Arabidopsis thaliana: one gene and its partners. The protein of the gene in region 1 binds, or shares a complex with, the protein of each later gene. Each region holds a gene or a part of one and is shown on either strand. Other genes may lie near its edges. A codon is read from its position in the direction of its gene.

What was found.
Region 2: the proteins of COP13 (region 1) and CSN6B are in contact, whole or in part, in a cryo-EM structure (PDB 9IS6), measured with the Arabidopsis thaliana proteins. Residues at the interface, in NP_568296.1 of Arabidopsis thaliana: Tyr367 (codon at 3,844), Lys368 (codon at 3,847), Ser369 (codon at 3,850), Met372 (codon at 3,859), Ile373 (codon at 3,862), Met376 (codon at 3,871), Val379 (codon at 3,880), Ile380 (codon at 3,883), Arg382 (codon at 3,889), Thr383 (codon at 4,073), Ile384 (codon at 4,076), Ser387 (codon at 4,085), Leu390 (codon at 4,094), Met393 (codon at 4,103), Asp394 (codon at 4,106), Leu397 (codon at 4,115), Asp400 (codon at 4,124), Leu402 (codon at 4,130), Tyr403 (codon at 4,133), Lys406 (codon at 4,142); in NP_567746.1 of Arabidopsis thaliana: Glu268 (codon at 3,584), Leu271 (codon at 3,593), Met272 (codon at 3,596), Tyr274 (codon at 3,731), Asn275 (codon at 3,734), Leu278 (codon at 3,743), Ser281 (codon at 3,752), Tyr282 (codon at 3,755), Met285 (codon at 3,764), Cys289 (codon at 3,776), Met293 (codon at 4,170), Val296 (codon at 4,179), Lys299 (codon at 4,188), Phe300 (codon at 4,191), Thr302 (codon at 4,197), Ala303 (codon at 4,200), Tyr304 (codon at 4,203), Asp305 (codon at 4,206).
Region 3: the proteins of COP13 (region 1) and COP9 are in contact, whole or in part, in a cryo-EM structure (PDB 9IS6), measured with the Arabidopsis thaliana proteins. Residues at the interface, in NP_568296.1 of Arabidopsis thaliana: Asp121 (codon at 2,350), Leu123 (codon at 2,356), Arg124 (codon at 2,359), Pro128 (codon at 2,371), Ala157 (codon at 2,458), Lys158 (codon at 2,461), Gly193 (codon at 2,702), Leu194 (codon at 2,705), Lys195 (codon at 2,708), Lys332 (codon at 3,647), Glu335 (codon at 3,656), Met336 (codon at 3,659), Leu339 (codon at 3,668), Gln340 (codon at 3,671), Ile342 (codon at 3,769), Gln343 (codon at 3,772), Ala349 (codon at 3,790), Leu350 (codon at 3,793), Ile351 (codon at 3,796), Asn352 (codon at 3,799), Gln353 (codon at 3,802), Lys354 (codon at 3,805), Asp377 (codon at 3,874), Ile380 (codon at 3,883), Gln381 (codon at 3,886), Ile384 (codon at 4,076), Lys388 (codon at 4,088); in NP_193147.1 of Arabidopsis thaliana: Met26 (codon at 2,074), Leu27 (codon at 2,077), Ala30 (codon at 2,194), Ser31 (codon at 2,197), Gly33 (codon at 2,203), Ile34 (codon at 2,206), Glu35 (codon at 2,209), Tyr36 (codon at 2,212), Asp56 (codon at 2,646), Phe60 (codon at 2,658), Arg64 (codon at 2,670), His89 (codon at 2,745), Tyr91 (codon at 2,751), Leu125 (codon at 3,361), Ser128 (codon at 3,370), Ala129 (codon at 3,373), Tyr130 (codon at 3,376), Ser131 (codon at 3,379), Thr132 (codon at 3,382), Ile133 (codon at 3,385), Thr134 (codon at 3,388), Asp137 (codon at 3,397), Phe141 (codon at 3,409), Met166 (codon at 3,719), Arg187 (codon at 3,782), Glu190 (codon at 3,791), Tyr191 (codon at 3,794), His194 (codon at 3,803).

Annotation. Positions count from the first base shown.
Region 1 is NC_003076.8:4,596,263-4,601,337, forward strand, and holds COP13 (Proteasome component (PCI) domain protein), read left to right. Parts: upstream 1-1,605; 5' UTR 1,606-1,707; coding exon 1,708-1,904; intron 1,905-2,086; coding exon 2,087-2,202; intron 2,203-2,302; coding exon 2,303-2,549; intron 2,550-2,685; coding exon 2,686-2,743; intron 2,744-2,830; coding exon 2,831-2,920; intron 2,921-3,120; coding exon 3,121-3,186; intron 3,187-3,339; coding exon 3,340-3,429; intron 3,430-3,517; coding exon 3,518-3,676; coding exon of another isoform or gene 3,677-3,724; exon of another isoform or gene 3,725-3,768; coding exon 3,769-3,890; intron 3,891-4,071; coding exon 4,072-4,144; intron 4,145-4,227; coding exon 4,228-4,299; 3' UTR 4,300-4,573; downstream 4,574-5,075. Other genes in the region: AT5G14240 (Thioredoxin superfamily protein), read right to left, coding at 1-133, 326-531, 632-775, 1,059-1,306; AT5G14260 (Rubisco methyltransferase family protein), read left to right, coding at 4,877-5,075. UniProt on the Arabidopsis thaliana protein: Component of the COP9 signalosome complex (CSN), a complex involved in various cellular and developmental processes such as photomorphogenesis and auxin and jasmonate responses.
Region 2 is NC_003075.7:13,353,080-13,358,139, forward strand, and holds CSN6B (COP9 signalosome subunit 6B), read left to right. Parts: upstream 1-1,912; 5' UTR 1,913-2,149; coding exon 2,150-2,447; intron 2,448-2,527; coding exon 2,528-2,616; intron 2,617-2,703; coding exon 2,704-2,797; intron 2,798-2,892; coding exon 2,893-2,954; intron 2,955-3,044; coding exon 3,045-3,123; intron 3,124-3,214; coding exon 3,215-3,307; intron 3,308-3,497; coding exon 3,498-3,598; intron 3,599-3,727; coding exon 3,728-3,783; intron 3,784-4,165; coding exon 4,166-4,247; 3' UTR 4,248-4,516; downstream 4,517-5,060. Other genes in the region: WRKY34 (WRKY DNA-binding protein 34), read right to left, coding at 4,517-5,048. UniProt on the Arabidopsis thaliana protein: Component of the COP9 signalosome complex (CSN), a complex involved in various cellular and developmental processes such as photomorphogenesis and auxin and jasmonate responses.
Region 3 is NC_003075.7:8,132,370-8,136,865, reverse strand, and holds COP9 (COP9 signalosome, subunit CSN8), read left to right. Parts: upstream 1-1,877; 5' UTR 1,878-1,998; coding exon 1,999-2,082; intron 2,083-2,190; coding exon 2,191-2,270; intron 2,271-2,644; coding exon 2,645-2,826; intron 2,827-3,334; coding exon 3,335-3,442; intron 3,443-3,677; coding exon 3,678-3,817; 3' UTR 3,818-3,986; downstream 3,987-4,496. Other genes in the region: AT4G14120 (uncharacterized protein), read right to left, coding at 54-241, 436-529, 619-867, 968-1,176, 1,315-1,681. UniProt on the Arabidopsis thaliana protein: Component of the COP9 signalosome complex (CSN), a complex involved in various cellular and developmental processes such as photomorphogenesis and auxin and jasmonate responses.

The DNA of each region.
Region 1 (5,075 bases):
TCGTGGTCCTTCACCACTCGTTCTATGAACTGTCTTCGAACTCCAGCCATCACAGCTTCCCTCGAGGAGTCATCGTCTCCTCCTTTGCCATCGTTAAGAACTGGCTCTGATTGACACAGAAGTAAGGCTACACCTGAAAAACCAAATCAGTTGCAAGTATGTTAGACATGTGCCTAAGACCAATCTGCTCAAAGCATGATACAATCGCCAATGTGGTCACATCAGGTCTCAGATCAGACAAAGGCTAGAGATGAGACATGACATAATCATCAAACACAAATAAGCACAGATTACATCAGACAAACAAGGGTTCATTCAAACTTACTCTCTGGGGTGCACCTACGGCCAAAGCTCTTTAAGCCTACATGAGTTCCTTTGATGGCGCCATGGTGGTACACCAGCAAGGTAGGAAGATTGCAATCAGGGTAGTTCGGAATACAATCAGTAGATATTATCTTAACGAACTTTGTTGCTGGGTATCTACTACCCAATTCGTCTAGACAACCCAATAGCAAACTACATTCTGCAACACTATCAGAGAACAACAAGAAATAAACATGAGTTAATAGTGTTTCAAGCATGTAGTAAAGAATGGCTCAACAAGAGTTCACGAATACTTGAAAAAACATACCCATCTTTATAGAGACATACAACAACCCAATCTTCAGCAGAAGCTTGCGTAACCTCCCTCACGAAATCAGAGCCCGAGATGGGAGTCACTGTTCCATATCTTTTAACTTTAGCAGCCTCTCTTAGCTCAGACAACCTCTTCTTCCTATGAAAGCATCAAAACACATTAGTGCCTGTGAATCATGAAGTGTGTTGCACAATTATGTTTAGCCTATTCATCAACATCTCAAATAAGATACTACCCTCAATTGCATTCATATCCAAAACACAAACGAATCGAGAAAAACCAGAGCTTGATAATTGCATTCCCTAGCTACATGGCAACAGATCCGAGAAAATTGAATTCACAATCCACCAAGGCAAGGATTCTCCAGGGAAAGTTAAGATTGTAAATACAAAAATCAGAATGTTCGATTCGATCTACGAACCTGTATTCTTCGAGAAAGCGATCATCGTCGAGATCTTTGTCGTCCTCAAGATCCTCAAGCTCCTCCTCTGTCTTCTTATCAAACCATGCCTGATCCTTAGGAGCTGAAGACTCGTCTTCCGCCGGAGTATACGCCGGAGGTTTGAAAGCCGGAGCCTTCTCCGGTAGATTCCCCAATTTCCGCTGGATATCATCCCATTGAGTTGACGCTCCTTCAATGTCCTTATACACGAAATGATAATCCGCCATCAAAGTATAACCACCTACGAAGCTTCAAAGAGAACCTTTGAATCTGAGAGGAGAAAAAGCAGATTGCTTTGACACTCTGTGATCGCAATCTCGTTCTTTCTCTGGAAAGACGAATGATAAAAGGCCATCCCCGAAATTGGTCTGGCTAAACCGACAATTACCATCTGGTACATTTCGAACCGGGAATATTTGGTTTAAAAGCCGGTTAGATATTGGTTTATTATTCTAGAGTAATGTATTAGACTCTTAACCGTTCGGAGGGTTCGTATATATATTATGAGAGCATGTATTTTTATGGAGAAGATCCAGAGATAATTAAACAAACAGTTTAGCAAAAGATTTTGAGAGGGAGAAAAAGGGCGATCGATTAGGGTTTTTGTGTTTTCGTCTTAGTATCGAAGATGATCGGAGCTGTGAACTCGGTGGAGGCTGTGATAACGTCAATCCAAGGTTTATCGGGGAGTCCAGAGGATTTATCTGCACTTCACGATCTTTTGAGAGGAGCTCAAGACTCGCTCCGAGCCGAACCAGGTGTTAATTTCTCTACTCTTGACCAGCTCGACGCCTCGAAGCACTCTCTCGGTTACCTGTATTTCCTGTGAGTTTTAACCTATTGGTAGATTAGGTTTTTGTTACTAGTTTGTGTATACTTTGAGGCTGATTGATGATTTTGGTTATTGGAACTTGATGTGTGTGATTAGGTCGAAGTTTAACAAGGAGAATTGTCTATGTTATTCGATTTCTGATCTTTGAGTTTTTTGTATGGTTTGATTGTTACAGTGAGGTTCTTACCTGTGGTCCAGTGTCGAAGGAGAAAGCTGCTTATGAGATACCGATAATTGCACGGTTCATCAATTCTTGTGATGCTGGGCAGATTCGTTTGGCGAGCTATAAATGTAATTTACTGACACTTAATGAGAGCTTATCTTGTCTTAATGTGTTTTCTTTTCTTTTTTCTTTGGGGAGATGGATGATGTTATTATATTGATTTTGCAGTTGTATCTCTTTGTAAGATATTGAAAGACCATGTTATAGCACTGGGAGATCCGTTGCGAGGAGTAGGGCCACTGTTAAACGCTGTTCAGAAGCTTCAGGTCTCCTCCAAGCGTTTGACTGCATTGCATCCAGATGTTCTTCAACTCTGTTTGCAGGCGAAATCGTACAAATCTGGTTTCTCCATTCTTAGTGATGATATCGTGGAGATTGACCAGCCAAGAGACTTTTTTCTCTATAGCTATTATGGGTAAGCAATTTTTCCTCATTGCTATCTGTTTTTTTCCTTTGATCAATAGATGTGTAAACACATTAAATCCATCCCTGTTGGGTTTGTTTTATAGTATTTTCTTATTCTGGTCCTTGATTACCTGGACTTTTGATAGGGGAATGATTTGTATTGGACTGAAGAGATTTCAGAAAGCATTAGAGCTTCTTTACAATGTAAGGCATTTTTATTTTTTCTTACGTGCTTTTTATACATTAAGGACTTTCGTTTTAGTTTTAACTCAACCTAAGTACTTGTATCAGGTTGTGACTGCTCCTATGCATCAAGTCAATGCCATAGCTCTTGAGGCGTACAAAAAGTACATATTGGTGTCTCTCATTCACAATGGGCAGGTAAGGCTGTGTTCTTTATATTTTACTTTCTTTGTTTATCTAGTTTTCGGTCATGGGAGCATATTGCACGAGTCTGAATCAACTGTATGTTTTTGAGAAATGTTGGTTTCACAATTACATCCTGTGTCTGATTTTAATTTCAAGCATTGGTTAATCTTATGATGTTTTTCTTATAATCTTGTTTGATTTTACTTGTGCAGTTTACTAACACTCTCCCCAAGTGTGCTTCTACAGCAGCACAGAGGAGCTTCAAGAACTATACCGGAGTAAGTTTGAACCCGATCATTAGTTGTATTTTTCATGTTTGAATGGAGTCTGGTCCCTTTTTCACTTCAGTCCAAAGATTTCAGTTGTTTTGTACTCCATACCAGCTAAATCTATTTTCAGGCTTATGATTTTATCGTTCACCCTTTTCTCAGCCTTACATTGAACTGGGTAATTGTTACAACGACGGGAAGATTGGTGAACTAGAGGCATTGGTTGTGGCCAGGAATGCAGAATTTGAAGAGGTAAATTGCCTCTAAACATTTACCATAGTTTCTGTACCAATATTAAATATTCATCCCCTTCCATAACTTGGGCGAAATGCTCTTTCAGGATAAGAACCTTGGATTAGTTAAGCAAGCAGTGTCATCCCTTTACAAGCGTAACATTCTGAGATTGACACAGAAGTACTTGACCCTGTCGCTTCAAGATATAGCCAACATGGTCCAACTTGGTAATGCTAAGGAGGCGGAAATGCATGTGCTTCAGATGGTATTGTGTCCCACACTTGATTTTTGGAAGCTAGCTTTATTAGTTTAACTGGTATGTTGGACAATATCATTTTTTTCTTTACAAACCTGCAGATCCAGGATGGTCAGATACATGCCCTTATCAACCAGAAAGACGGGATGGTCAGATTCTTGGAGGACCCTGAGCAGTACAAATCTAGTGAGATGATTGAGATCATGGATTCTGTTATACAAAGGTATGTCTACAGAACTAAGTGTTTTGATATGGTTTTTTTTTGGGAAACATTGCTTGAATGTTGAAACTCGTAATAAGGAGTGCATAATTAGCACTTGGAATCAAGTTGATATGGAGATGACTGTTTTGCCAAAGGAAAGTAGTAGCATCAAACAAGTTATGTGTTTTGATAAAAATTTCAGGACTATTGGTCTGTCGAAGAATCTCTTAGCCATGGATGAGAGCTTATCATGTGACCCTTTATACTTGGGAAAGGTAATTTAATACCATATTCCATTAGTCTTCTGTCCTGGAAACCCATGTTTCTCTGACTAAGCCGTTTGACTACTTTTTTTCAGGTAGGAAGGGAAAGACAAAGGTACGACTTTGGAGACGATTTCGATACTGTTCCTCAGAAGTTCTCCATGTAAACAGCGAAAGTCGAGAAGCACCAACAAAACTTGGCTCAAAGACAACCGTAGTGTGAATCTTGAGAATGTTACTTTTGATTTCTTTGTTCATTTTTGTTGGTTTAAAAAGTTTCATATTTTTGTCACAATTGCCAACAAGTAGAGAAGACCATTATGGACCCTCAAATCTTTTATTTCCCTTTTACTTAAAAAATTTTCCCCTTGCGCGTGTATCTCTCGTGCTAACTTACGCGAGCGTTTTATCATTTGCAAGGGTTAGAGAAGTCTCAACGGCGTCGTATCAAACTCGTTTTTAACTGCGTGTCGTTTGGGGAATCTGATAGACTCCTTGTTGTGGTGGGCTAGTTTCAGGCCCATTCTCGCTAAGCGCCACGTAGATTTTTATTTCTTTACTCATTTTTTATGTCGCATCTTCCCCATTTCGTTTTCAACCTGATTTCTCCATTTCCCTCTCTTATCCTCAATGAAAAAAATAATCTGAGAAAACGCAAAAGAAGAACGGAGCAAAATCCTCAGAATCGTCGCCGGAGAATCTTTACGTTTCGACATAATCGGAATTTTGGAATTGATAATTCCGATGGAAGGGGTTATCACATGTTTCCATACGAAATGCGTCTCTCTTCCAATTCGTTCTTTCCCACTTTCTAGGGTTTCTTCACTTCCTCGGTGGAGGAACAATAAATTGATCTCTTCATCGCGATCGGTTCATCTAAGAAGCTTGTGCGTTTCGAGCTCAGATACTTTAGTCGCGAGCGGTTCACCAAAGGAAGACGAGA
Region 2 (5,060 bases), on another chromosome or scaffold:
CAACAGCAGAAAGCATTAAAGAATAGATAACCCCAATTTCCGAGAGGAACGTTAGGAGAAAGTTTTTGAAAATTTACAAAACTTTCTGTTAGTAGATGCTTAATTTCATCAGTGTTTTCCAAGCAATTTTGAATTAAGGATTAATAAAATTGTTATGTATATTATGAAATAATGAAGATATTTCGCTATCTCTAGAGTCTAAAGAGATTAGCAGTTGGTGCCTTGGTGGTTGACAAAAGAAAAGAAGAAGAGATTAGCAGTTGCGTTTAACATTGGTTTTATCTAGAAAGATGAACTGATGGTTACATATAAAACTAGTCGTTGTCTGTCAGTGTCCACTAAAGACTATTTTCTTCTTTTGATATACATTTCTAAATATACAACAATATCATTTCTCCGAGGTTTGTGAATTGTTTAGGTATAAAATAGTTTTCTACAATAACTTTTGCTATCGGGTGCAAAGACATTCTACCATAGAACGAGTTTAGTATAGTGTCATTTCGTAGATTCTTTATTCGGATTGGTTTTTCAATATCAACAAAATTCTGGTTCATTTTCTTCCCTCCTATAAACGAAGGTAAAAAGAATGAAGAAAAAAGAAAAGAAAGAATATTTTGTTAATGCATTATCTAACGTGTTAATGTGTCACTTTCATTTTTCTTAATCGTTTGTTGAAAACTTTTTGCAGTTGATTTCAGGAAAACGGAACACACATATATATATATATATGTCTTTTATTTTCAATACGGACCAAATCCATCATTTGCTAATCAGTGAGAAAACTAAATCGTGGTCTACTAGTTTATATAAATTGAAAAAAGAATCATAAATAATATGTCACATATCCAACCTAAAGATTTATGTCTATACATGTAAAAATGTAAATGAGCATATTCCCAAATTTCCCACAAGTATATAGCACTACCTACACTCACGCTTCTTCAAAGTGAAGGCGATGGTGGAAAAAAGCGTAGACGATGACTTGATAAGATTGACTGAAGAAAAGAAAAAAAGTTATCATAAGTCAAAAAGCATGTCGTTAGAGTTTGACGAGATCCCATGCATGATTATATTGTCGGATACAATTGTTTGAACAATACGGTTGGAAAAATCTACCGTAATATGAAGACTTGAATGACATAACTAAAGATTGTACCTTGCAAGCCAGCAATGTGTTAATGATATGAGTAAGGGTGCAGAGGCTGCGGCTGGTGGCTACTGGCTAGTGATAAGCAATTTACGATGTAATGACAGATATATCATAGGAGACTAGGAGTTATATATGGTATATATAGAATCTAAAATAACATATTTATCAATTTACTATATTAAGTTTTATGGTTCCAAACTCAAAACTAATTGTTTATGAGTAGATTTGGTTTATATACTGTATATTACTCATATTCTATTTCCACTTTTAATGTGGGATTTCTCATAAACTATATACAGTTATATTTTTAATTAATGAAATAACAATAATACAGATTTAAATGTAGCCTTAACTATTTTTATGAAATTTAAATGAAATTTAATTTAAAAGATTGCATTCAGAATACAAAACTGTAATATTCTGTAAAATATTGATAGGTACTACTTACAACATAGGAAACATATTTAAAGATATGTTATATAAACTAAAAATAGTTTAAAATATCAATATATATATATATATATATATATATTACGAAAAGAAGAATTAAAACAGACTACACACATAATAAAATTTTAATAGTAACACTTACAAACATATCCAATAATATTAAATAAAATTAATTCATTATGATCTTTATGTTATTTCTATATACTCAAACCAAAAAAAAAGAAGTAAATGATTCAAAATCCAATCATAATTATTTTTCAAATTCATTAAAATACAAGAAATTTCATATTAAAAAAATAGATATTTCTTTCAAAGATTTATATTCAAATTATAAATATATACTAAAACGCTAAAAAATTAAGTACATGCTATAATCTTTTCCATTATTTTTCTAACAAAAGAAAGTTATATATGGGCTAAACTTAGAAGGAAAGCCCAAGAGGCCAAGACTATATAAAGATTCATGACCCGAGTTTAAGATCCGATTTCAGAATTTGGGACTAAAGGAGGACAACGACAAGCGCCGGGAAAAAATCGAGAGCGACAACAATGGCGCCTTCTTCGTCGAGCGGTCTCACGTTCAAGCTACATCCTCTGGTGATGCTTAACATATCCGATCACTTCACTAGGGTTAAAACTCAGCTTAATCCTCCCGCCGCTTCTTGCGCCACCGGGAATGGCTCCAACAACGCCGACGCGATGTTACTGCAAAACCCTAGGGTTTATGGCTGCGTCATCGGTCTCCAGAGAGGTCGTACGGTTGAGATCTTCAACAGTTTCGAGCTGATATTCGATCCTGCTCTTGATACTCTCGACAGATCCTTCCTCGAGAAGAAGCAAGAACTCTGTAAGTTTACTTACACTCGCTCACTTTTGTTGTCGATTGTTTGATACTCTTGCTAATTTGTGAGTTTTGTTATTTTTTAGATAAGAAGGTGTTCCCTGACTTCTACGTATTGGGATGGTATTCTACGGGAAGTGACGCTACCGAATCTGATATGCATATCCACAAAGCTGTGAGTAGTGTAGCTTTAATGTTTAATATAAATTTAATTGAATTTAGGATTCTCATTGTACTGATTTGTTGAGGTTTTCATCTACAGCTGATGGACATTAATGAATCTCCTGTGTATGTTCTTTTAAATCCTGCTATCAATCATGCACAGAAGGATCTTCCTGTGACTATCTACGAAAGCGGTAAAAATTGGTTATTTGCATCACTGATTGTCTTATTGTTTTATAGATTATAATCTTGCTAATCCTGTCTTTTTGATTGTTTTCAAAATTTGAAGAATTTCATGTCATTGATGGAATTCCTCAGTCGATTTTCGTGCATACCAGCTACACAATTGAGGTATGTGTTTAGGCCACTTGATCTGTAATCTATCTATGTGATATGAGAGTGGACTTTCAATAACATTGCAATGATTGTAAACGCGTGCAGACAGTTGAAGCTGAAAGAATATCTGTTGATCATGTTGCACATCTTAAGCCATCTGATGGAGGCTCAGCTGCGACTCAGTGTAAGCTTTATTATCACTTCATATTTATCATAATCTGTTCTTTCTTTTTCATCTGCATGGAATTTTAGGTTGATTCCTCGATTTTGTGCAGTGGCTGCTCATCTTACTGGAATACATAGTGCCATCAAGATGCTTAATAGCAGAATCAGAGTGCTATACCAGCATATTGTCGCTATGCAGAAAGGTATATTCTTGCTCAAGTCCCCACTCTCGGTCCCTCTTCAATTTGTTAATCAAGCTTTTGTGACCTGTCCCTTGATCTTAGAATATTTCTATGTGTTTTCCTACGGGGAAGAAAGAATTAAAAGGGTGTTAGAAGATGATTTTGAGCAAGAGTAATGTGGTACTAATGACTTATGTGATTCTGCATCTAGGTGATAAACCTTGTGAGAACTCAGTTCTGAGACAAGTATCTAGTCTGCTCAGAAGTTTGCCTGCCGCAGAATCAGAGAAGTTCAATGAAAATTTCTTGATGGTAAGTAGTACCTTACCTTTTTCTAGCAATGTTGGTTAAATAAAGTGGCCTTCGAATCTCTTAAATTCTTAATGTAGCTTGTTGTTGTGAATGATATCTTTATAAATATGATGTTCTCTTCTTTTGCAGGAGTACAACGACAAATTGCTGATGTCTTACCTAGCAATGATCACGAATTGTACCAGGTATGTGCTCGACACGCTATTCCATTTAACTATTTGAATAAAAGAATGATGGACATGCATGCAAATCTTTTGCTTGATACAATGCAATGTTTTACGATACCAAGACAGATGAAATCACCAGTACTTGGTTGAGGCTGACATTGAGATAGTTTGTTTTATTTAGATTAAGAACTAAATCTAGGACCTTGCTCAATTATCCTTGTTATAATTAAGATACTGAGCCTGTAGTAGCTAAGGGAATATAAGCTTCTTTTTAAAAAAAAAATCTAATCTTGTGCTACACCTTGACCAATCCATATGTCAATTTCATTCCAACGAAATGTCCTGAAAGAATCCTTTGTATATTTGATCTCTTACTCTCCTTTTTCCCCCCAAAATGCAGCAACATGAACGAGGTGGTTGACAAATTCAACACTGCATACGACAAACACAGCCGAAGAGGTGGTAGGACTGCGTTCATGTAAAGATTAGTTTCAATGTAAAAAAACCTTTTCTTTCTTTTGGTGGTCTGGTCCCTAAGTGAAAATTTAGAACTCTTTTAAGGCATTTCACTTTTCGGAACCAAACAAACAGCTAGGAAGCTTTTCTTCTGTTTAAGCTTTGTCTAGACAGAAGCTAAGTTTAGGCCTAACTAAATTTTGCGACAAGACTGTAAAAACAAAACAGCTTTTACCTTCTCTCAATTTTTCATTTATTCAAAAATTTGAGCAATCAGTGAACAAAGAGATTTGTTTCATATCTGTCGTAATCTACTCAACATCTCTCTGCATATCAATGAGCTCGCTGACAAATCAAGTCCCTGTTGTGGTGACACTGGTTCCACCTTCGGCTGTGCTGCTAACTGCAACATTAGGCCAGTTGGATCCCCAATGTCAGGCGCCTGCAGGCTGGTAAGCTTCTCTTGCCCAATAGTTAGACCAGGCATTGAAAGATCAGAAAGCTCAGATTGGCCTATGTAAACGGAGAAACCTGTAGGATGCCTCAGGTGTGACTGGAAGTCAAATAGAGATGAGTTGGCTGTGGCCAGTCCCTCAGATCTACTGTGTGGCATTGGATAGTGCACATTGTGGTTGTGGGTCTGAGTCGCTAAACTGCCTTGGAGAGTCCCTGAACTGCCTGCACCGACGTGGCTGCTGTTGCGTGCTGCTGGTACAACGTGGGTGTGCTTGCCTATATAAGTTGTTAGTACGCTCTTGAAGTCATCAGAGGCTCTCTCTACATGCTTCGTTACGGTACATCCATTAGCTGTGCATTTATAGTAGCTCCTGAAAACATAG
Region 3 (4,496 bases), on another chromosome or scaffold:
AGTCAAATACGCTTAAACCCTATATACATGACTTTGTTACTAACTGATTAACACTAACAGCTAAACTCAGCTAACAAAAGTTGAGTTTCTTGCTCATTCTTTGGATCAGCTAGTGGCGTCTCAACGTTGTTAGAGCATGTATCTAAATCTGTAACTTCATTTGATGCCCCTTTAGCCTCAATAGCTGAAGCATTCTCCTCTATATTCTTCTGAGGATCTGTATGCGTGGTTTCAGGAGTTCCTAGAAGAACAATGAAAGAAAAGAGACATCAATTTCTAAGGCTACCAATTCTGACTTTATAATTTCAATACAAGCTAATATCATGCATTTATACTATCTTACAATTTACCAAGCCACAGAAGACAGTATTATTATCTGACTAGTACTGACATTGAATTATACCGTGTGCTAAACATGAATATAAAGAGACTAACCATGATTATCCTCTGAGTTCTCTTTGAGATATGAAAGCATTCTTCTGTAATTTACAGAACCTGGCACTTTAAATAGCTTGCGCCGGCAGCACAGCTGTTTCATGTCACAACAGGGAAAATGTCAAAAACAGATTCTTAAATAAGGAACAAGACTGCAGCTTCTTAAAAAAAAACAGATCATACAGAAATTTTGTTGCCACTGGATGAAGTCATCTTCTTGAAAGGGCTATTGTTTCCATGAGCTTTAACAAAGCTATTGGCAGATACGGTTTCAGGAAGTCGGTAATTTGCTGCCATCAATTCACCTCTTTCATCCTTAGGATCTTTTGCATCACCATCTCGGGTAACATCTGCAGCTTCCATCAAGTAAGGAAGCATTCTTCTATAGCTCACAGAGCCAGGGTTCTTGAAAATCTTTTCCGGATGACGAATCTGTATACATATCACAAGAAGAAAATTAAGCAACCAACGAAAAGCCAATATTGTAGTTTAAACGCATCATTTGCTATAAAACCATGAGTAAAAAACATACCACTTTGCTGCCGAGATTGGTACCAACTTTCTTCCCAGAGACCTCACTGATCTCTTGATTGATAGAACCTGCTTCATTTTTCACCAAAGAAAGCTCACCGGTGAACATTCCTAAATCCGGTGGCGTCGTTTGTGAGCATTCCACTACTTCTAAATCACCTCCAGTAGCCACTAATCCATCAACAAGATATTTGCTTCCTTCTCTCATAACTGTTTTCACCATTGTGTAATCATTATAGTTTCTAAACAGATATTGAAATTTCCTAATTCCACCTTCATTATATCAACATTCTCCTAAATTTTCTTAGAAAAACTTGTACAAGAAAAAGACCTTAAAATAAGAATTACCATTAGAATTCGGAGTATCGCAAGGAGATTCCACATTTAGCTCCTTGGTTAGATTTCCCCCTTTCACATGAAAGTCCCAATCACTAGAGATGGAACTAGGAGAGAATACGCGTCTGAGACACAGATTCTTCACGGTGACACGAGAACAAGTTCGGGGCATTTGAGTAACAATTTTCCCTTTGATCGGTGACGCATGATGGTGACGAAGATCCGTGACAATGTGAGACAATGGGGATGCAAATCGAACGGAGGAACGATTGCTCTGAGTTCGTAATTTGCTTGCCATAAGGTTCTGAGAGGTAGTATAACGAACTGAAGAAGACGAAAATCGCATCTTCTTCCTCAATATAGGATCTGATTCGGCCATGGTAGAACTCGCGCCAAGAGAGAGCTACAGAGAGAGAGAGAGAGTGTGTGTGAGAGTGAGAGAGACTGTTTGTTATTTTGGCGGGAACAGACCGGGTGGCTTTATGATGTTTGGCGGGAAACTAAGGCTTAGTGGGCTTGGCCCATTTATCCTCTTGTGTTTGGTCAATTTTTTGGTCGGTTTAAGTAAACCGTATTGAAAAGATTATTAAAACCTGTAAATCTCACAGAATTTATTTTTCTTTTCCCTGGAGTGGTTTTGGGAGTAGAATTGTCATCTTCGCAAAAGCTTCGAGAGTAGTGCAATCGAAACAAGTCATGGATCTTTCGCCTGTTAAGGAAGCTTTGGCCGCCAAATCCTTTGACAAAATCGCCGATATCTGCGATACTCTCATGCTTCAGGTTCGTAATTTCTCTCGCTGTCGTTGTTTCTGATGTTCATTAGGGTTTTGTGAAGTGGATTTTGTGGTGTTAATCGTTCGATTTATCGCTTCTTAATTTTTTTTATAGGTTGCTTCCGAAGGAATTGAATATCATGATGATTGGCCTTACGCAATCCATCTTCTGGGTTACTTTTACGTTGACGATTGGTGAGTTTATTTTCTTCTTTGATGTATTTGTTTGCGTTGTGAACCTAAAGTTAGTTCCTTTATGAAATTAGAGATTGTTTCGTTGAACTCTTGTGAATTTTAGCGCGTCAAAGTTGTTCTTACTACTTCGATTGCTAGGTCCTAGGTTGAATCTAAGGTCTAAAGTCTGCTTTTTACATTACCTTGTTTCTATCCAGTGATTTGAAAAATTAAAACTTGACACAAGTTAGTAGTTGTTGAGACCCATTTAACATTTTTTTCCTTTGTGTATTGATAGTGAGTGTAGTATGTTGAAACTATTGAGTTATGGTTGTGCCTTCTTGACTATGGATTTGGTTTTGATGTTTTGCTGTGCTTGTTTGGAAATACTGCAGTGATAGCGCACGTTTCCTCTGGAAAAGGATACCTACAGCTATCAAGGAGAGGAAGCCTGAAGTTGTTGCAGCTTGGGGGATTGGTCAGAAGCTGTGGACACACGACTATGCAGGTGTATATGAAGCTATTCGGGGTTATGATTGGAGTCAAGAAGCTAAAGATATGGTTGCTGCCTTCTCAGGTAAATTTTTTCTCTGTTTATGACTTCTTAGCTAGTATGAATTGGTTTCTTGAACTAAGCTTGTTGATTGCTTATGTAGTTGTGTACTTTTATTACTTCATATCCCTCTTTAGGTTTTGAGCTTTGATATACATATTGAGATCGAATAGTTGTTTTATTGTTTTAACTTGTGAGGCCTAGTTTAGGATTTCTGTTATGCACAGAACCACCTTTCATCTTATCATTGAACTATTGGAACTCGAATTTGAATCAAATTTCATCAATGTATGTGCCTTATCACTTCTTCATTAGAAAGTAGTTGCTTCTGTGGTCTAACTGAGAGAGAGGTAGGTAGACTCACACAGGAGGAACGAGTAAGCAGTTGACAGACTTTTCCAACCAAATGTCTAAACGTTGATCTGAATTTTGTGAAGTTGTACCTTTTTCCACATCAATTGTTCAACACCTGACCTTTATGGGTCACTTTCCATCAGATTCTAATTCTATTTCTGAATTGGTTTTGTTGTAGATCTTTACACAAAAAGGATGTTTCAGCTTTTGTTGTCTGCCTACTCCACAATTACCATCCATGATTTAGCTCTTTTCCTAGGGATGACGGAGGATGATGCCACAACTTGTAAGCTTCTTTCTGCAATTTCCTTTGCTTACAAAAGATTAAGTACCTCATTTCACATTTCTATTGAATTCTACTGAATTGATTCTTATATTGATACTTTTGAAAAATGTCGAAGAGTTTGTGGCAATGTCTTAGCTTAGTGTTATTGTAGGCATGAATCTTATGACAACCATATATGTTACGGAATCAGAATTAACAGTATAATTGTTTTCTTTATTGCTGGATATATACACAGATGTTGTAGAGAATGGATGGACAGTGGATGCAGCTTCTCAAATGGCGAGTGTGAAGAAACAAGCTGTTAAAAGAGAGCAAAAGGTGGATTCATCGAAGCTACAACGCTTGACGGAGTATGTGTTCCACCTTGAACATTAAAACTAAGTGCCGATCTCCTATTAAGATAGTGAAATTCTAAGAACAGAATTCGTTTTTGAGAGATTTCACAATGACTGATTCTAAGTTGCAACATATCTTGACTCTTTGAGTATATGATGAATAACTCCTACCAATTTTACTCTTATAAGATCAGTTTACACCAACAGGCGAACTAAAACAAACATTTAAAAGATCAGTTTACACAAAAGACGAACTGAAACAAACAAAAGATGAAGTCAATATTATGAGCCAAAAAGGACACAGCCTAAATAACACACGTTTTCAGAACAAAATTAGGCAGAAACAAGAGAAGATCATTTTAGCGACTATAACAAGCTAGCCAATCTCTGAGATAAAAGATGATAATCTTCAAACCGGAGAGGTACTCTAGAAGAATAGGAGCCATTTGTCGATCTAGTAGATGACAAGCTGGGGTTATCAGAGATTAATAATTCTTAATTTATTATTAAATTATCGATAAATGAACAATTTTAAATTTATTGAGAGATTTTACTATTCTTTTATAATTTTTAAAACTGGTTTATGTGAAAAGCAGTTTTTGTAGTTATAATCAACATCCTTTTAAAAATAATGAAAAATATAAAAAGTAAATAATTATTAAGTCTAGAAAACAAAAAGAAAAAAAAATTGATACTGTAGAAATATTAGAAATAAACTC